Linked DNA regions of Macaca mulatta. The protein of the gene in region 1 interacts with the protein of each later gene in a pairwise test. Links are inferred from orthologs where the notes say so. Each region holds a gene or a part of one and is shown in the gene's direction. Other genes may lie near its edges.

Region 1 (6,830 bases):
ACGGCTCAGACAGGGAACTTTACTTTCTTTGTACTCTCAGTATTCCCAACACTTCTGGAATAGGCATGTGACCGTTGATTTTAGCTCCTTATTTCTTTTTATTTAATTAAATAAGCAACATATGGATACTCCTTGTTTTGAGAATTTTGGGCCGGCTGCGCACAGCAAAGAGGCTGAGCGCCCCTCGGCAGCTCCCTGCACAGCCACACGCTGGGATGCGTGTGGAGATCACCCACTGGGTTTGGAGGTGCACAGGACCTCAGGGGGCGATCCCACCAGAGGAGCGGGGCTCGGCCTATGGCCCAGCTACCCCGAACTCCCCAGAGCTCCAGGGCCTTTCCTTCCATTTCCAGGAGTGACACCAATCTTGTCTCCTCTCCCAGCCCCAACCAGTGGGAAGAGAGGGTCCCATAACAGGCCATGGCAGTGGCCTGGGAGAGGCCACCCCTGCTGCCTGCCCACCTCAGAGGGTCCCCAGCTTGAGGATTCCGAGCAAACCTGGGTGCTGCATGTGTCCCTCCTCTGGAAAGAGCAGGCTGGAGATAGTGACCCCTCGTCCCACCTCCCAGGTGCACTGCGGGTGGACTGGGAACCAGGCAGCAAAATCCACCCAGCTTGAGGCCCGCGTCCTCCTGAAAGGGCCCCAAGCCCACACCCGGGGTGTTGCTGAAGTGACCAAAGGTAACCGCTGTGCTGAGGGGGCACGGGAGGACAGAGAGGGGGCGAAGTCATGGTACCCCAAGATCATCCCAGAAAACACGTTGGGAAGTTCTACTTTGTGTCTAGCCTGACTCCTTCTCCGGCGCCCAGGCCCTTTCCCGACAGACACAGCCCTCCCCTCCTATGTCCCTGAGCTTCCTGGTGCCTCTCCCTCTGCCCCCGGCAGCCCTGGCTTCTGTGCTGTATCCTCAGCAGGGCCTGGAGACACCCCAGAGGCCTTAAGAGCCACACCCTTCACTTTGATTTCTGCAGGAAACGAGGTGGCTCTGGGCCTTGGATAGGAAAGGGTTGGGGGTCTCGCTGGGGCCCAGCAACACTGACCTGAGTATGACCAGAACAGTCACCAGAGGCCTCCTGGGAGGGCGGGTGCAGCCCCAGCCCCCGCCGTGAGTAGGAGGAGCGGGGGCGGGTGTGAAAGTGTGGTGGGCAGCAGCGGGTCTATGCGGCTCAGCAGTGGAAAGTGAGCGGGCCAGGCTTCCAGGCGAGCTCAGGGACGGTTTTCACTGCAGCTAACCCTCTCCTGCCCGCCTGCACTCCCCGTGGTAACCAAAGGCCCTGCAGTGTGCGACTCCTCTTTATTCTTCCAAACTCTGTGAGCCTGCACGCTCCCATCCAGGACAGAACAGCAGGGGAGAGTGGCTGAAGGACGACAGGGGGCCTTTAGGGCCAGCTGGGTGGATGAGCTGAGTCTGCTAGGGTTGAGGGTTCAGTTGGGGGTCGGGGGGCATCAGTCGGGGGTCGGGGGGCGTCGAAGCCTGGGCCCCATCCAGCTGTCCTCTTTGTCCGGCCCAGGTGTCCCTGGGGTTCCTGTTGTGCCCCCGGCTTCTCTAGGGTTAAGTCCTCCTCCCCGTTCCCTCACTGTGGGGTTTAGCAGCATGGCCCAGCTGTGGAGTTTGGACTGGCAGTCGGGGTCACAGCAGACTCAGGAGCTCTGATTCCGGGGCCAACACTGAATGCTCCTCTTCTGGGGACATCAGCGCCTCTCCCTTGGCTACTTGGGGAGGCTGGTATGGAGGGAAGTGGAGGGAGAAGGAGGAGGTGGAGGGAGACGCGGGGAAGTGAGGGGAGGTGGGGGGAAGGAGGGAAAGAGGGAGGAGGGAGAAGGGGGAAGGGGAGGAGGAAGGAGAGGAAGAAGGAAGAGGAAGGGGGAGGGGGAGGGGGAGGGTAGGGCAGCTCAGGCCCTTCTGTCTGCTCTGATCTTCACGGCCTGAGGATAAGAGCTGCTCCCAGACCTGCGGAGGCCCCTTGGAGCAGAGGGATGTTTCAGAGAACACCCGGGTGACCTGCCTCCCTGCTCTGCATGACGCAGCACTAGGCCCCTGTGAGTCCAGCGTCACCCCTGCAAGGTGGGGGGTCATGGCCCCTGCCTGGACGGGCTGCGCAGCCCATCTGTCTTTACTTGGGCCTTCTCTGCTTCCAGAGGCTGCCCTGGGCGCCTGACCCTGGAACCTTCATCTCCAGCTCCCCAACCCCTCCCCCACAGCCCTGGGACCGGCGCCAGCCTGGGGAGGGGTCTCCATGCTCAGTTCCTTCCCGTCTTGTTCAAAGAGACACTGCCTGCCCACGTGCCATCAGCAGGATCCACAACCCTGCCAGGGGCCCCATGACACGCTCCCGCTGCACAGAGCATGTGACCCCAGAGGCCACCCTGGCCCGTTCCAGAAAGTGTGGGCCCTGGGATACTCCCCTCCCAGGGTGTCTGGTGGCCGGCCTATGCCTATCCCTGCTGTCCTGGGGTGAGCCCGGAGGTCAGGAGCTCCAGAAGGGCCAGCTGGGCATATTCTGGGACTGGCCATCAGCCCCCATTTCTGCTGCAGACCTGGTCAGAGCCAGTGTTCCCTCCATGGGGCCTGAAGACAGTGCCAAGTGCCCGCGCCATGGACCACAGCTGTGCCGCTGGGCAGCTGGTGACGGTCCCGCGCGGGAGCGCTGTGGACCCCGCTCTCTGGGCAGCCCTGCCCTAGGCCTGGACAGCTGCAGAGCCTGGGACCATGTGGATGGGCAGATCCTGGGCCAGCTGCGGCCCCTGGCAGAGGAGGAAGAGGAGGAGGGCGCCGGGGCCATGTCGCCCAGGGGGCCTGCCTTCCCCGGCATGGGCTCTGAAGAGCTGCGTCTGGCCTCCTTCTATGACTGGCCGCTGACGGCTGGGGTGCCGCCCGAGCTGCTGGCCGCTGCCGGCTTCTTCCACACAGGTCAGTCCCGGGCGGGGGGGCCTTCCTGCTGTGGGCCTGGGCACGATTCTGGACCCTTCCAGCCCAGGGCTCTGCCTCCTCCGTAGCATCCATCCCCCAACAGGAAGGGTCTGGCCGGATGATGGAGCAGGAGTCCTGCAAGCCCTTCAGTGCCCATGTGCTCCTGCCTGACACGCTCTCCCGGAGTCTCTGCTGGCCAAGTGTGTCAGACTGTGGGACATGAGGAGGGGCTGCCTCTGGCCATGGTCTGGGGGTCTCAGCTGTGGAGGCCACCAGCTTGGTGCGCAAGTACCTGTTTGTGATAGAAGTGGGTGGGGCTGACATTGCCTGGGGCCCTCACCGTCCTGCTGCTGGTCTGCACGGGGAGGGGAGGAGATGTTTAAGGAACAGGATCACGGTGACCAAGGCAGGCGTGGTCAGCCGGAAGGTCCTGGCAGCTCAGCCTGTGGGGAATTTCTTCAGGACCCAACCTGCAGCCACTGTCTGGTCTTCCCCAACTAAATCAAGTCCCCGGAGTACCTATCCTCGTCTTGACCTGGGCCCGCTCCTCGGCCCTACAGCTGGGGACCATGTGGTCAGACCTGAGTTCAGGTCCCAGCTCTGCCACTTCCGGGCTGAAGGACAGGGCAGCAGGGCCCACTGAGGGCTTTACGAGTACTGGCACAGCCAAGGTCATTGTCAGCAGTGGGCTCTGGGAGGGCACCATCCTGGTAAGGCTGGACCAACTTAAGACAGCTGGTCGGGGGGGACAGTGGCTGGGACAGTCAGGAGTCGTGGTGTGAAGGGGCAGGCCTGGCTCACCCAACTCCCTGGAGGTCCAAGGCTCAGCAGGTGAAGGTCAGGCAGGAGGCATGGCAGGTGCAGAGCCAGGGTCTTTGGGGCTGGTCGAGGTCCAGTGCCTGATGCAGCCCAAACCTGTGATGTCAGTGGCAGGTGATATATCGCATGCCTGCCGATGAGGGGACGGGGCTGTCAGGAGGTAGAGCGAGGAGGGGTCCCCCACCCCTAAAGGGAGGCATGAGTTCCTAAAACCAAGCCTGGCCCCAGACTGGCCTTCTAGGGCAGCCTCCCTTCTTCCTCTCGCTGGGACTCATCTTGGGGAAGCAGAGACCTGGGGAGGGGCTCTTCTGGCTCCTGAAGCCTCAGGGCTATAGATGTGCCAGGCCCTGGGGGGCCCCCACTGCTTACTCTGGGAACAATGCAAATGCCAGCTCAGTCCTTTCCTGAACATTCTCACCCATCCTGGCCGGCACCCCAGACACCCTTGTCCCCTTTTCACCTTTGATGCTAATGAGGTGCAAGAGTCCTCCCCCACCCAGCCCCCTGCCCACCCCCTCCTCCCTGTTGCCACCTGGGAGCTCCCCTCCAGTTGAAGCTCTCGCAGCCTTGGAAGGACGTACCGGGGGGGCAGGGGGCTGGCTGGGGCCTGGCTGGGGCCAGCATCTCTCCGCACCCCAGGCCAGCAGGACAAGGTGAGGTGCTTCTTCTGCTACGGGGGCCTGCAGAGCTGGAAGCGCGGGGACGACCCCTGGACGGAGCATGCCAAGTGGTTCCCCAGGTACCAGCTGTCCCTGTGGGGCCCCGGGTCTGATCACGGGTCAGGAGTGGGCCCCAAAGGGCTCTGTCGACCCAACACCAGGCCTGCTTTGCCTCCCTGGCCCCACAGGGCACTGGGGAGGCCCCTCTGTGGATGGTGCTTCCGGCCGGCAGGCACCCACTTTTCCTGTGAGGGCCCCTGTTCGGAAGGGCTGCTGGGGGCAGAAGTGCCTCTCCTGTGGGACTACCCTGAAGCCCCATGGAGGTGTCTCCAAGGCAGCCCTCCTCGCCCATGCCCACGGGCACTGCAGGGCGGCGGGAGGAGGGGGCCCAACCCCCGGGGATCCAAGGGCTTGAAGCGGACGGCGGGGGCCCTGAACCCCAACCTACATCTGTGGGGCATCTGCAGCTGCCAGTTCCTGCTCCGGTCAAAAGGAAGAGACTTTGTCCACAGTGTGCAGGAGACTCACTCTCAGCTGCTGGGCTCCTGGGTGAGCGCCACCTCCCCTCGGGGCTCCGGGCGCCAGTGGGGTCCTGCCCCTCCTATTTCCCCAAGGCACCGACAGTCTCTGGCTCCTTCCAGGACCCGTGGGAAGAACCGGAAGAGGCAGCCCCTGTGGCCCCCTCCGGTGAGAGCCAACACCCTACTGACTCCTTGGGCACCTGCAGCCTGTGCTTGGCCAAGGCCATGGGGTGTCCCCACCCTGCCAGACAGCAGGGAGAGTGACGGGCACGTGACCGGGTGTGAGGCTGCTGCCTGGGTTGGCTTCATGGGGGCTGTGCCGTGTGAGGTGGCGCGGGGCGGCAGGGGCCTCTGCCAGTGCCAGGTCCCCATTCTGCTTCTCCCCCAGCTCACCCCCTGGGCACAGCCCATCGCCCCTCGCCGCACCACCCCCAACAGTGCCCAGCACACAGTGTCTGCAGCCACTGCCAGATGGGCTGGATGTGCAGAGGGCCTTGGACAAGGGGCAGGCTCTCTGGTGGCCCCTCCAGGAAGCCTTTGGATCCTGTTATGCTGTGGGAGGGGTGGGAAGAAGTGTCGGGAGCGGGGGTACTCTGCAGTCCCTCCACTCCTGGCCAGAACTGGACCCCACAGGCTGCGGACCTGTCTCTGGGCCGGCCCGGCTTCCCCTTGGGAGCTAGGCCTCAAGTCCATCCTAACTGTCCACAGTCCCTGCCCCTGGGGACCCTGAGCTGCCCACGCCCAGAAGAGAGGTCCAGTCTGAAAGCGCCCAGGAGCCAGGTGCAGGCCCGGGACCCCCTGGGGTGGGGGCTGGGACAGGGGAGGGCTGATGGCACCTGGAGGGCTGGGTAACGCCAACCTTCCACAGGCCGAAGAGGGCAGGGGCCAGGGTGCGGGGACACTTTGCAGGCCTGTCCTCCTAGGGGGAGCCAGTCCCCCCCAGGCCCAGAGCGGGTGGTGGGTTCTTGAGCCCCCAGGAGCCAGGGACGTGGAGGAGCAGCTGCGGCGGCTGCAGGAGGAGAGGACGTGCAAGGTGTGCCTGGACCGTGCCGTGTCCATCGTCTTCGTGCCATGCGGCCACCTGGTCTGCGCTGAGTGTGCCCCCAGCCTGCAGCTGTGCCCCATCTGCAGAGCCCCCGTCCGCAGCCGTGTGCGCACCTTCCTGTCCTAGGCCAGGTGAGCGTCCCGGCACCACGCACAGCCAGCCCTCCTGCGGAGATGGCCCTGAGCCGGCCGTGCCCGGCCCTCCTGAACCCGGCAGGCCCTTCCCGGGTGGCATCGTCAGCCTGTCCTTACCCCGCTCACCAGGCCCCACTGATAGCACCCATCAGCCTTACTACCTGCCTTGACGCTTAGGTTGGGGCCTGGTCCTTCTCAGCACCATGCCCTGGCAGCCACCACAGCTCTGCCCGCCTGCGTTAACTGACGCCTGCTGGCTCCTCTCGGCCTTGATTTTCTTCAGTGGTCAAGGAAAGCCGGCTTTGGAGGCGTTTGGGGAAACAGAGTGGGCCGGTTTGGGCTTACACAAGCGAGACACCAGCCTGGCCTTAAACCGGGGCCAAGGCACGGTGGGGACGCCTGCACGGTGGGGACGCCTGCACGGTGGGGACGCCTGCATGGGACGGGGGCGTGTGAACCTGTTCTTAGAGAAGTGGGTGGGATGCCCCAAGCTGGCCGAGGGACAGGTGCTGTGACTGCCTTGGGGCTCTCCAGGGCCTCTGTAGTTACCCCCGGGATGTGTCTGAAGATCTTTTGGAGGGGACAACGTAGTCAGGCAGGGAAATCTGGGAAAGGGAAATCTGGTATCTGAGGCCCCTGGCTCAGTGGGCCCTGTTGGTAGCCATTGACTCACCCACCCCTCCTCTCCCTCTAGGTACCGTGGTCGGCCAGGTGGGCTGCAGAGTGGGCTCCCTGCCCCT
Region 2 (6,830 bases), on another chromosome or scaffold:
AACAGCGCTCGCCCGGGCCTGGGGAGGGAAAAGAGGCGGGGACAAGTCCGAGGGGAGTCACGTGACGCTTAAAGGTCCATCGCACTGAAGGCGAGGACTGAACAGGTCGAGGGTTTCTACTTGGCAAATATATTTGACCCTTGCCACTCGCCGTCTACGCGTGGACCTGGGGCGGTTGCTATAGGAACCAGGGGCGCTCTTTGGTTGCTTCCAAAGGGTTGATCGTGACCAAAGAGGCCAAAACGTGCCTCCTAGCGAGGCGAAGTCGCTATGCATGATGGGATGCCAGAAGGACCTCCTCTATCCAGGAAGGTGTTTCCGCTGCTACCGAGAGATGGCCCTCGTCTAGCAACAGTTGCTAGGATGGGGACGCAATCTCTGGTCCCTATTCTCTTTAACCCTATTCATAGAATCCTAGAGCGTCAGATTGGAAGGGACCCTAGGGATTCTTTAACTCTCCAACTCCTCCAATATTGATAAGGAGACTGAGGTCCAGAGAGGGGCAGGGATTTGCCCAAGGCCTAGAATCCAGGATTCCTTTTATTTTTGTTTACTGATTTTTTTTTTTTTGAGTTGAGAGAATCCAGGACTCCTAATCCCGTTTACCGAAAGGCGAGCTCCACCCAAGAATGTACCGGTCTCTGCCTTAAGCACGGGGAAAGGGCGGTGGGGGTTGGGAGAGGGATAAGGCACAGGTGAGGGAAACTTTCTTTGAGCCAATGAGATAGATGCCTTGGGGATATAAAGAGCTTTCATCTCTCTGCCCTGTTTTTATTTTTTTCTCTTTGCATTTATCACTAACATACTATGTCTTTTATTTATTTATATAGTTTATCACCTGATCCTTCCACTGGAATGTAAACTCTAAAAGCAGGGATTTTGTTTTGTTCACCTCCATGTTCTCAGTGTTTGACTACAGCCTCAATAAATATTCGGAAAGACCGGGCGCAGTGGCTCAAGCCTGTAATTCCAGCACTTTGGGAGGCCGAGACGGGCGGGTCATGAGGTCAGGAGATCGAGACCATCCTGGCTAACACGGTGAAACCCCGTCTCTACTAAAAAATACAAAAAAACTAGCCGGGCCAGGTGGCGGGCGCCTGTAGTCCCAGCTACTCAGGAGGCTGAGGCAGGAGAATGGCGTAAACCCGGGAGGCGGAGCTTGCAGTGAGCCGAGATCGCACCACTGCACTCCAGCCTGGGCAACAGAGCGAGACTCCGTCTCAAAAAAAAAAAACAAAATTCGGAGAATAAGTGAACGAATGGGGCTGAGGTTTTGCTGCTCAAGCGATTATATTCTAAGGTGGACTCTTGGATTTTAAAAGTGTGGCTTGTCGAGTCAGGTTTCGGGTTTCAATCCTGCCTGCCTCGGCCGCTTACTGCCCATGTGTCCTTAAACATTCGTTTCCCTGAACCCTAGGGTCTACATCTGTAAAACTGGCAGGGGGTGGGGGCGGGAATACTTTCCTGGCAGGATTGTAGTTAAGGATAAATGAGATAAGCATGAAAAGTGGCTAGCACGATGCCTGGGACTTAGCAAATGCTCAGTAAACAGAAACGATTATTTTTGAAATGTGAAAATGAACCGTTCAAAACGACAGGAGTTTAGAGGGACTAGATTTCTGCCAGTTTTTTTTCTGTGTGGGAGGTGTTAGGGTGGGAGGGAGGGAAGAGGGAACGGAAGACTGTGTAAGGTGGGCTTGGTTGGATCAGACACTCGAGTTTGGAACAGTCAACTGCGATCTGGGCACAGGGGCGGTGAGGGGAGCTTATGGTTTTTCTTGGGGTGGAGGAGGAGGCTAAGGGGAATCCATGCCCCGGAGGAGGTTGAACGGGGTGGGGCAGACCGTGGCTCCACTCATGGTTTCCCTCTTTCTGGAAGTGTGACGACTCTCTCCGAGTCTCTGTAAAAGCGGGGCCGTAGTGAATTCTGGCGAGGGGCCCTCGGTGGACTGGGAACTGGTGCCACAATTGCAAACGGGCACCTGCGCCCGGAGGGGGGCGGTGACGCGGGGGCGGGGCTGGGCCCTGGGAGCCGGGCGAGGTGCGGAGGTACCGCCTTGGGGCCGGGCGGTGACAGGAGATTGGATCCTGGGGCTGAGGATTGACTTTGGGGGCGGGGCGAGGGTGCGAGCTGGAGTCCGAGGCGGTGCGGTGACGCATGGACGATTCTGAGGGTGGAGCGAGGGGAGGGGGTTGGCTCTTGGAGGCCGGGCAGTGGCGCGAGGCTTGGCGTTGGGGGCGGGGCGGTGGCGCAAGATTGACATTGGGGGCGGGGTGGGGGCGTGGCGGTGGCGCGGGATGGATTCTGGGGTCGGGGCGAGGCGCTGAGGTGCGTCCTGAGGGCGGGGTGAGACGCAATTGCGAACCTGGGGGCGGGGTGAGGCCTTAGAGACGAGTCCCGGGCACTGGGCGGTGACGCGGGGGCAAGTTCAGGGGCGGGGCGGTGACCCGAGAATTGACCCTGGGGGCAGGGCGAGGCGCGGAGGTGCGTTCTGACGGCGAGGCGGGGACCCAAGAGCGAATCCTTGGGGCGGGGCGAGGCCTTGCAGATGCGTCCTGGGGGCGGGGCGGTGACGCGGGGGCGGTGCGGGGACGTGGGGGCGGGTTCTGGGGCGGGGCGGTTACCCGAGAGTTGACCCTGGGGGCAGGGCGAGGCGCGGAGGGTTGTCCTGAGGGCGGGGAGGTGACGCAAGCGCGACTCCTGGGGGCGGGGTGAGGCATTGGAGATGCGTCCTGAGGCGGTGGAGCGAAGACTGACCCTGGGCAGTGACGCGGGGGCGGGCCCTGGGGAGTGGGGCGGGTCCTGGGGACTGGGGCGGGCGGCCGAGGCCCGGAAGCAGACTGAGGCTCTTCGCCATGGATGAAGCGGACCGGCGGCTCCTGCGGCGGTGCCGGCTGCGGCTGGTGGAGGAGCTGCAGGTGGATCAGCTCTGGGACGCCCTGCTGAGCCGCGAGCTGTTCAAGCCCCACATGATCGAGGACATCCAGGTGCGCCCCCGCCCCTGGCCCCCTGGCCCCGCGCTGCACGGCCGGGTCCCCACGCCCCTCGAGGAGCCATTGTGCGGGAGCCTAGCTTTCCCTGTGGCTTCGAACCCCTCAGCGGAGACTAAGAATCCCGAACACCTCTTAGTCGGGTGTTCGCTAAAGCGATTCCACGCCATACTCAGTCAGCGTCCACCGTTAGTGCTTGTGTGTCTTGTGTAAAGGAAAAATGTGAGACCCATCTTGAAAACTTTGAATTAGAAACAGTTCATGAATCGGAGAACACCAGACTGAAAGAGGTTTAGTGTTGCAATGACAAAAGGTCAGAGGCAAGTATTTATTGGGAAAATGTGGAAGCAAAATAACGAAATTATTTGATTGGTTTGCAGTTACAAAATTGCCCTTTTTTTTTTTTTAAAGGTCTGTTAGTTGATTGCTTATGCTTGCTTATCATTGGCTGGAGTTAAGTTTTACTTCTCTCTAACATAAGCATTTATCAGATATGACCCAAGTTAAATTTTGCTGTTTGCAGTTTAAGCAAGATTTAGGTCACTAAGGATACCTGATCGGTTTTGTCTGCTCAGGAATTATTCATGGTTGGTCTCCATTTTAGTTTAATACTTGCGAGGAAGGAGGCGTGTGCGTTTTTACTTTTCTAGTATAGAGATATTGGGAACCCACTTTGGCATCAAGACTGCCTGGCAGCGTGTTCTTGGGCCAGTCATTTACCCTCTTTGAGCCACGGTTTCTGGGCTGTGAAATGGGAATAAGAATAATACTGTCATAAGGACTAAATGAAATAATGGATGTGAAACAATGTAGTGCCAGGCACAGAGCGAGGGCTCAGTGTGCCCTGCCCTCTTTGGCCAGCCCCTTCTGTGTTCAGTTTATGTTTTGTTAAGAGGTTTTGGAAATGAGGGGACCTGATGCAGGTAATGGAGAATAATAAAGTCAAACATTTGAGGTTTTCTTTAAAAGCACTTTCTCATCTTTATCTCATTTGACCCTCATCACAGGCCTGTGAGGACTCAGGAGATATTTCCTACCATGAGGTGCAGTAGGTGTGAGTGGCTGGCTGGATATCCCTGGCCAGTGCCCTGGCCCAGGGAAAGAGTCTTTAAATAATTGAGTATCATATGAGTAATTATTCATTAATAATTAAGTCTTGTGACTTCTGTGTGGCCCCTACTGGGGAACAGAAATGGTTTGAGGCCACAGTCCTTGCCTTCAGGAATGTTCACGGGGATCACAAACTCAGTGCCTGTGGAGGCCTGATGGATGGGCATCATAGTGGATACCTTTGCACTGCTCTCTGACTCCAGCTGAGTATGGCCATACCAGCAAATGGCCCAGTATTGCCAGATCTTTCACTTATTTGAGGCAGGGTCTCACTCTTGCCCAGCCTGGAGTGCAGTGATGAGATCATGGCTCACTGCGACCTTGACCTCCTGGCTTAAGTGGTCTTCCTGCCTCAGCCTTTAGAGTAGCTGGGACTTTAGGCACATGCCACCATGCCTGGCTAATTAAAAAAAATTTTTTTTTGTACAGATAGGAGCCTTGCTATGTTGTCCAGATGAGTCTCAAACTCCTGGCCTCAAGTGATTCTCCTGCCTCAGTGTTGGGGTTACAGGTGTGAGCCACTGTACCTGGGCCAGCTTTCACATTTTAAAAAAGAAGCTGGAAATCTTGATTCCTCTGTCAAATTCCCTGGCTTAAAATGTTAGCAACAAATTCAGAAATTTTTTAAGAACCTTGTGGGAACCACAGGTTGCCATTTTGTCACCCTAGTATGGCTGAAAAACAGGCAGGTTTTGGATCTGGGCGCTCATCCTGGCCTTGTAACGTATTAGCAAGTCGTAAAAAACCACAACCAATGAACCAAACAAACAGAAAAACCCCTTTCTGTGACTCAGTTTCCCTGAAATTTCTTACCCTAAAAAGTTGGGAAATTGTAATTTAACTCTATCAGGTTATTGAGGGAGAAAAAGATGAACCAATGCATTTACACAGTGTTGACCTCCTGGAGTGTTTAGCAAATGTGGAGAGAAATCTAAACACCACCATCTATTTGCATGTGGCCAACTGCTCTGCTAGTGAGACTCACCTTCTTAGTGGCACTACAGGTTTGTAGTAGCCATTAGCCACATGTGGTTAAAGGTAAATTTGAAGTAATTAAAATTAAATAAAGTTAAAAATCTGTAGGGTCCAGCCCCACAGGGCCTGTGGGTTTTTCTCCTTGTGTGCGGAGACGAGAGATCGTAGAAATGAAGACACAAGACAGATAGAAGAAAAGAGAGCTGGGCCCTGGGGACCACTACCACCTAGACGCAGAGACCGTAGTGGCCCCAAATGCTTGGCTGCGCTGTTATTTATTGGATACAAGGCAAGGGGGCAGGGTAAGGAGGGTGAGTCGTCTTAGGTGATTGATAAGGTGAAGCAAGTCACGTGATCATAGGAAAGTGGGCCCTTCCCTTTAGGTAGCCGAAGCAGAGAGAGAAGGCAGCATACGTCAGCGTTTTCTTCTATACACTCATAAGAAAGCAAAGACTTTAAGACTTTCACTATTTTTTCTACCGCTATCTACTACGAACTTCAAAGAGGAGCCGGGAGTACGGGAGGAGCATGAAAGTGGACAAGGAGCGTGACCATTGAAGCACAGCACCACAGGGAGGGTTTAGGCCTCCAGATGACTGCGGGCAGGCCTGGATAATATCCAGCCTCCCACAAGAAGCTGGTGGAGTGGAGCGTTTCCTGACTCCTCCAAGGAAAGGAGACTCCCTTTCACGGTCTGCTAAGTAACACGTGCCTTCCCAGACGCTGGCATTACTGCGTGACGAAGGAGCCCTCAAGTGGCCCTTTTGCGGGTGTGACAGAGGGCTCACATCTTGCCTTCTAGGGCACTTCTCACAATGTCCTTTCAGCACCTGACCCTGTACCCGCTGGTTATTCCTAAGTTATATTAGCAATGCAACAAAGAGTAATATTAAAAGCTAATGATTAATAATGTTTATAATAATGATTGATATTATCCATGATCATCTCTGTATCTAATTTGTATTATGACTATTCTTATTCTAACTATTTTCTTTATTATACTGAAACAGTTTGTGGCTTCAGTCTCTTGCCTTGGCACCTAGGTAATCTTTCGCCCACAAAAATTCAGTTCCTCCGTTGTACCACCCAAGTGCTCAGTGGTCATGTGATGTATGGTTACCATATGGGACAGTGTAGACCAAGAATATTTCCATTATCATGGAAGGTTCTCATAGACAGTGCTGCTGTAGGATAGTTGAGGACATGGTGCCATCTTATCCCTGTGGATCCTGAGAACCTGTCCAGTGCTGGGTGTCTGAAGACAGGTGGCAGATAACCAGAATCTTTCTTCTGTCTTAGTGACTGACCCCACCATCCTAACACCTTCAACTTTTTTTTTTTTTTTTGAGACAGGGTCTTGCTGTGTTGCCCAGGCTGAAGTGCAGTGGTGCTATCACAGCTCACTGCAGCTTTAACCTCCTGGGCTCGAGCCATCCTCCTGCCTCAGCCTCCTGAGTAGCTAGGACTACAGGTGCATGACACTGTACCTGGCTAATTTTTTTAAGTTTTTGTAGAGATAGGATCTCACTGCATTACCCAGGCTGGTGTTGAACTCCTGGGCTCAAGCTATCCTCCCACTTCAGCCTCCCAGAGTGCTGGAATTGCAAGCATGAGCTACTGTGCCTGGCCTGCCTGTCAACCTTGACCCTTGCTCTGCCTTCACAGTCCCACCAGTCAGTGCCCATGTCCTATGGACCCTCCCTCTTTGTATCTCTGCTTTGTCCTTTCACTTCTCTCTATTTTAGCTGCACCAT
Region 3 (6,830 bases), on another chromosome or scaffold:
GAGATGGGGGTACCTATTTCATATTCTACTTTTGGTTGCCTCCTTACTTTTGTTTTGTGACCTCAACCAGGCTCCTTGTGTAAGTTACAATTTATTTGTGGATGTGAACTCGGGCTCCTTTTGTAGGTTATAGTTTATTTGTGGGTGTGAACCCCCTTCCTTTGCCTGGTTCAATTTCTTCAGCGGTCTAGGAAAGAGACCTTTCCGAGCAGTGGCCTGTTTTAAATCTGTAGGCCTCTCTTCCTACCACTCACTTCTTGGCCCAACCCCCCTTCACATTCCTCTGCTTAGGAAGATAGCGGGGGCAAAAAAGGCCTCATACATTATTATTTTATTAAGAAACCATTTTCTCTCCAGGATGGGCACAAGGTGCAAGGCTATTTCCTTACATGAGCAGGTATTTTAAAAGCTGGGCAGGAGACGCCATACTGTAAATTTAAAATTTAAAAAAAATTTAAGGCGAACCTTCTTTTTAACCTTAAGAATAGTCTTCACTATTCTCCACCACCTTCCCACTGGCTGTGTAGAAATAACGACCACCAGATGAGAACAGGCTATTTACTCAGAGCTGGCAAGGGAGTCAGCCGAGACCCATCACTTGGTTTGGTAGACTCATAGGCAGGCAGGGGAGTGGAAAAGCTTTACATACAGTGAAAAAAGTGAGAAACTTCAGGCTGGCTCTGATTGGAGGCTCCCGGCACCGGGAAGTTGGAGGAGGGCTAATTAGAAGCAGGGCTTCTTATGTGATTGGTGTGAGGAGCACATTTGGCTTTCTCTGATTGGCCCAGAGCTGGAAGCAGGGGCAAGAAATAGGGAAGCGGCCAGCTAAAGATCAAGTCCTGACCATTCTGGGCAGATTACTGCAGAGGTCATGGGTAGGAGGTCATGGATAGGTTTGGCCATTCTTTGTATACTCAAGTCTCTCAATTGGGCGAGACCCAGATATTGTTTCGCTTGACCTAGTTAGCTTTTAACTCCAAAGTTTTGTTTAACTTGGAAGAAGACAGCAGTTCTATTATTTCTGTCAAGGATAAACAGAGACATTGGGATCTGAAAAGTAATTATGGAAAGATAAATAAATATCTTTATAGTGAGGGTCAGCCAGGAGGAATCACCCTCTGCCTTCAGGTTCTCCATTTCCTTACTGAATTCCTACTTCCATTATAACGGACGATTCAGTAGCTTCCCTCCCTTTGGGGGAGGGCCCGGCCTCCTCCGCTCCCACTTTCTTGAGTTCTTGAGTCTTGCCCTTCGACGGCAGGAGAAGAGGGTTGCGCCCTATCAACTCCTCACTTTACAGTCCAGCTTCTCCCCCCACCACTCCGGTGAGCTACCCCTGCTCCATGCGTTCCGGAGTAATCCCCCTCAGTCGCACTCTCACAGCCCGGCCCCTGCCCCCACCTCATCCCCAGCTGTGCCTTCACCTCCCGGTTCCTCCCCAACAGGTCCCCCAAGATACGCCCTCACAGTCCGGTCCCCCGCCGTCCTCTCCCGGCGCACGCTCAAGCCCGGTGCCTTCCCCCCGCGGCCCCCCGAGGCGCACCCTCAAGCTCGGTGCCTTTGCCCCACCCGGCCCCACAGGGGCGCCCTCAAGCCTAGTACACTTCACATGAGAGCCCCTGGGGCGCACCCTCAAGCTCGGTGTACCCCCCCATACAACCCGCAGGCGCGCCCTCTTGCCTGGAGCCTTCCCCCGCCCAGGCACACCCTCAAGCCCGGTGCCTGCCCCCACCCCCAACCAGCCCCCCAGGCGCACTTTCAAGCCCGGAGCCTTCCCCTAGCCAGGCGCGCCCTACTGGCCCGCCCTGCCCCTCCGCGAAGCGCCCCCCGCGCGCTCCCTGGAGTCCTCCCTCCTGCCTGTCGCGGCCTCCAGGCCCGGTCGGCCCCCCTTCCGGCCCCCACACTCAGACGCGTGCCCCGCGTCTCCGGGCCGCTAGTCCCGCGCCTTCCTGGATGGACGCGGCCCCTTACGCCCGGCATCAGCCTCCCCGGCTAGCACGAGAAGTCAGGTCAGCTTCCTGTCCCCAAGCAGCTGCCCGGGGGCCAGTTTTCAAAACATAGCCTTAGACATGTAATAAAGAGATGCTCCTCTGGTCTCAACTCCCTATTTTTACTTTGGAGGGGCGAAGGCAGGGCTACCCTTGCCAGCCACCATTCCCCAATCACTTCGCAGCTGTGGAAAAGCAGCCGTCCTGTCCCTTCAGAAAGGAACTCATATTTCCCCCTCGAACTTTTCTCGTCGGTGTGAGAGAAGGGCCCTCCATTTTCTCCTCAGGAGGCTTTTGCGGCCCGGCTTCCTCTCACCACCAGGCCGGGAAGGCAGTGACGCCGCGGCGGATGTAGCCGCGGCGGCCGAGGTTTCGCCATCTTGAGTGGAGGAGGAGCCGCGGTCGCCGCCATGCGGAGAGGCAGGGAAAGAGGGAGGAGGCGGCGGGCAGGCGAACGGGCGAGCGAGGGAGGGGACAGAGGAGCCGAGTTAGCTCAGCCCGGCGGCGACTTCGGCGGCGCCACGAGAGCGGGCAGCGGAGGAGGTAGGGCTGGACGGCCGGGGGAGCCGGCGGCGCGGGCGGCTGGGCTGCGCGCCCCTCGGAGCCGGGTGGGGGCGGGGGCGGGAGGAGGCCGTAGCGAGGGGGCCGAGTGGGGGCGGGCGGAGGTTTCCGAGGAGGAAGGAGCGGCCGCCATTTTGGGAGCTTCGAGTCAACAATAAAGGACCGAGGGTGCCGAGCGGGAGTGGCCTCCTTGGTAGGACACGGGCCCGAGCCGCGAGGCCTGGGGTGAGGTGGTGGGGTCGAGGTCAGCGGCGCTGTGGGGGCTGCGGGGAGTCTCCCGGGCCGGCTCTGGGGGACTCTCTTGGGCGGAGGCCTAAGGCCTGGCCGGGCCTGGGGAGGAAGGCGGGCGGCAGCTGTGTGGGGTGGGGGCGCCTGAGAGGAGGCGAATATAGGAATGTGGTGCGCGGCAGGGTCGGCAGGAGGAGCAGGCTAAGTACTCGGAGGAGCTTTATCGAAGATGAGGGAATATGAGGCCGAAGGGGGCGGCAAGGACTTAGGGGGATGATGGTGGAGGTTATAGGGTACGAGGCGGCCCTATAGGGGGCGGCAGGGACATGCTGTATTGGAAGGCTCGGTTTAGAAGCGAACTGACCGCTGCTTGATTGCGGTAGGCCTTGCAGGTCAATAACAAGAGGGTGTATATGGAGCCCCAGACTCTTGGAGGAAAGGAGGGGGATTTCTGGGTTGGGGGGTCCCTTTGGGGCCTTCTTGGGGGAGTCCCTATTGTTTGCTACTGATGGAGCTGGTTGCCGGTTCATATTGCGCAGATAGGATTGCAGAGCCCAACCTTTTGTGTTTATGGTCAGAGGGAGCTGACTTGACGTGTGTGTGTTTGGGGCGAGGGGCAGCAGGGGGGAGGGCAAGAAATTTCCCTACAATTGTGGGGCTCCAGTCATTGACTTGTCTCTTTCCCTTATCTCTTTCTTTTCCCTTCCACAGCCCCCCTTTCCCTTCAGAATAAAACCCAGTCACTCCAACTTGCAGGCAAAGCTTAGAAAAACTGCGCTGCATTTGCAAACAAAAGCTCTTGTTGGCGATGACGATACTGTTTTGGGTGTGAAACTGTCAATTGCTAACTATGATCTGAGAAGTGCTGTAATTAACTCCGCTAGGGGCTCCTCCCAACTAGTCTACGTTTCTAGTCTGTTTCTCGTTTTTTTGTGTTTTGTTTTGTTTTGAAAATGGAGAAAGATAACTTGAAAATATAAATTGGGAAGGAATAGGAGGAATATTTCCTTCTCTGAGACAAAGCTGCAGTGCAGGTTTCAGTTTAAGGGAGCAGTTATCACATAGTCTCATTTTGGATTTAAGGATATAGGTCTTACTGTGCATGATGGACAGTAATGATGATATCGTTCGGTCTTTAGAGGTTGCCCTTTTCATCCTCTTAGTGCTCTGCAAACAGCTAAGTCTCTGTGTGAACTGCGTGATGTCGCTGATCATAATATAAACCCGTCAATACAGGAAAGTAGCTGTTAACCATATCTGCTTAAGATGTCAGAAGGACTTTAAAGTAAACAACTTTGTGTATGTGATAATCAGGATTTGCTTGTGAGCAACTTGTTCTTTTTTTTTTTTTTTTTAAGGAAGGCATAATCAAGGAGCATTTTCTCATAAATTTTGAGATCTGTTGACTTTAAAATTTTGAGTTTCACATGCCTTGGTGTATGGCAGAAAGAATCAGCACTCGTAAGCTGTGTATTTTATGTAAGAAATGTGACGGGGTTGCTGGGTGCGGTGGCTCACGCATGTAATCCCAGCACCTTGGAGGCCAACCAAGGCAGGCGGATCAGCTGAGGTCAGGAGTTCGATACTAGCCTGGCCAACATGGCAAAACCCCGTCTCTCCTAAATATACAAAAAATTTAGCTGCGCGTGGTGGCGGGCGCCTGTAATCCCAGCTACTCTGGAAGCTGAGACAGGAGAATCGCTTGAACGCAGTAGGCGGCGGTTGCAGTGAGCCGAGATAGTGCCACTGCACTCCAACCTGCGTGACAGAGCGAGACTCCGCCTCAAAAACAAAAACAAAAAAGCCATGTAACGGGGTTAAATCAAAAGCCAACAGAGTAGGGCTTTGTTTTCGGGTCTTTGTATGTTTTTATTAACTACAATTAAGATTTCAGCCGGGCACGGTGGCTCTCGCCTGTAATCCTAGCACTTTGGAAGGCTAAAGCGGGCAGATATTTGAGGTCAGGAGTCTTGAGACCAGCCTGGCCAACTTGATAACACCCCGTCTCTACTGAAAAATACAAAAGTTAGCCGGACTGTAATCCCACCCAGCTACTTGGGAAGCTAAGGCATGAGGATCGCTTGAACCCACGAGGTGGAGGTTGCAGTCAGCTGAGATCGGGCCACTGCACTCCACCCTGGGCAACATGTCTCAAAAGTAATAATAATAAATAAGAGTGGCTGGGGGGGTGGCTCACGCCTCTAATCCCAGCACTTTGGGAGGCCGAGGTGGGCGGATCACCTGAGGTCAGTTGTTCAAGACCAGCCTGGCCAACATGTCCAAACTACGTCTTTACTAAAAATACAAAAATTAGCTGGGCATGGTAGCGCATGCCTGTAATCCCCAGCTACTCAGGAGGCTGAGGCAGGAGAATCACTTGAACCCGGGAGGTGGAGGTCGCAGTGAGCTAAGAGCGTGCCATTGCACTCCAGCCCGGGCGACAGTGCAAAACTCTGTCTCAAAAAATAAAATGAAAAATAAAAGTAAGAATTTCCATTTACGGATAATTTTGTTTTTTTTTTGTTTTTTTGAGACAGAGTCTCGCTCTGTCGCCCGGGCTGGAGTGCAGTGGCCGGATCTCAGCTCACTGCAAGCTCCGCCTCCCGGGTTCACGCCATTCTCCTGCCTCAGCCTCCCGAGTAGCTGGGACTACAGGCGCCCACCACCGCGCCCGGCTAATTTTTTGTATTTTTTAGTAGAGACGGGGTTTCACCGTGTTAACCAGGATGGTCTCGATCTCCTGACCTCGTGATCCGCCCGTCTCGGCCTCCCAAAGTGCTGGGATTACAGGCTTGAGCCACCGCGCCCGGCCCCATTTACGGATAATTTTAAAATGAGGTTGACCAGTTTTGTGTCTTTTTAAGCGGAGTTTTGCTCTTGTTACCTAGGCTGGAGTACAGTGGTGTGATCTCGGCACATTGTTGCCTCCGCCTCCTGGGTTCAAGTGATTCTTCTGCCTCAGCCTCCTAAGGAGCTGAGATTTCAGAGGACCACCACCACGCCCAGCTAATTTTTGTATTTTAGTGGAAATGGAGTTTCACCATATTGATCAGGCTGGTCTTGAACTCCTGACCTCAGGTAATCCACCAGCGTCGGCCTCCTAAAGTGTTCGGATTACAGGTGTGAGCTACCGTGCCCGTCCTGCCAGTTTTTTGTTTTTTTGTTTTTTGGTTTTTTTTTAAGTATTAATTAGATTTACTACGCTGGGTTTCTTGGAAAGTTTTCTTAAAATTACTAGTGTGTTTAGTCTTCTACAGTTTTTTTTTTAAACAGGGATTTTCCTGTTTTTTTTTTTTATTCTATTTAAAACGAATAGTTATTAGCAGAGTTTGTTATAAATGAATAAAATTATTAGAGTTGTTTTGTCAGTTTCAAAATAAAGAATCATTTATACAAAATTTGTGTATCATCTGTCCTTAGGATCATTACTTGCTGAATATATTATGGCAGAAATACACTATTCTCTTGATTGCTTTGTGTATTGTTTTAAAGGACAAAAAGGAAAAAATAAAATACATTTTTCTTCATAAAGTTTTTTATTGTTGTTTTTTGAGACAAGGTCTCACTCTGTCGCCCGGCTCACTGTAGCCTCCATCTCCTAGGTTCCAGTGATTCTCGGCCCTTAGCCTCCCGAGTAGCTGAGACTCCATTACAGTTGTGCGCCACCACGCCTGGCTAAATTTTGTGTGTTTTTTGTTGTTGTTGTTTTTGAGACGGAATCTGGCTCTATTGCCCAGGCTGGAGTGCAGTGGCACAATCTTGGCTCACTACAACCTCCGCCTCTTGGGTTCAAGCAGTTCTTTGTAGCTGGAATTACAGGCGCCTGCCACCACGCCTGGCTAATTTTCGTATTTTTGGTAGAGACTGGGTTTCACCGTCTTGGCCAGGCTGATCCTGAACTCCTGACCTCGTGATCTACCCACCTCGGCCTCCCAAAGTGCTGGGATTACAGGCGTGAGCCACCGCTCCTGGCCTAAATTTTGTATTTTTAGTAGAGATGAGGTTTGACTATGTTGTCCATGCTGGTCTCTAACTCCTGACCTCAAGTGTTCA

Evidence for each region.
Region 2: the proteins of BIRC7 (region 1) and CASP9 interact in binary tests that used the Homo sapiens proteins (3 or more experiments, as listed by UniProt). The two-hybrid records come from large-scale screens. The link is inferred for Macaca mulatta from reciprocal best matches to the Homo sapiens genes BIRC7 and CASP9.
Region 3: the proteins of BIRC7 (region 1) and DDX6 interact in a two-hybrid assay, tested with the Homo sapiens proteins (3 studies listed by BioGRID and IntAct). The two-hybrid records come from large-scale screens. The link is inferred for Macaca mulatta from reciprocal best matches to the Homo sapiens genes BIRC7 and DDX6.

Annotation. Positions count from the first base shown.
Region 1 is NC_133415.1:116,086,365-116,093,194, forward strand, and holds the start of BIRC7 (baculoviral IAP repeat-containing protein 7), read left to right. Parts: upstream 1-1,839; 5' UTR 1,840-2,041; exon of another isoform or gene 2,042-2,140; 5' UTR 2,141-2,323; coding exon 2,324-2,912; intron 2,913-3,015; exon of another isoform or gene 3,016-3,192; intron 3,193-4,370; coding exon 4,371-4,470; intron 4,471-4,857; coding exon 4,858-4,939; intron 4,940-5,031; coding exon 5,032-5,077; intron 5,078-5,619; coding exon 5,620-5,691; intron 5,692-5,834; coding exon 5,835-6,082; coding exon of another isoform or gene 6,083-6,087; intron 6,088-6,267; coding exon of another isoform or gene 6,268-6,513; intron 6,514-6,784; coding exon of another isoform or gene 6,785-6,830.
Region 2 is NC_133406.1:225,515,510-225,522,339, forward strand, and holds the start of CASP9 (caspase-9), read left to right. Parts: upstream 1-2,835; 5' UTR 2,836-2,856; coding exon 2,857-2,988; intron 2,989-6,830. UniProt on the Homo sapiens protein: Involved in the activation cascade of caspases responsible for apoptosis execution. Binding of caspase-9 to Apaf-1 leads to activation of the protease which then cleaves and activates effector caspases caspase-3 (CASP3) or caspase-7 (CASP7).
Region 3 is NC_133419.1:119,469,106-119,475,935, reverse strand, and holds the start of DDX6 (putative ATP-dependent RNA helicase DDX6), read left to right. Parts: upstream 1-2,464; 5' UTR 2,465-2,531; intron 2,532-2,686; exon of another isoform or gene 2,687-2,774; intron 2,775-6,830.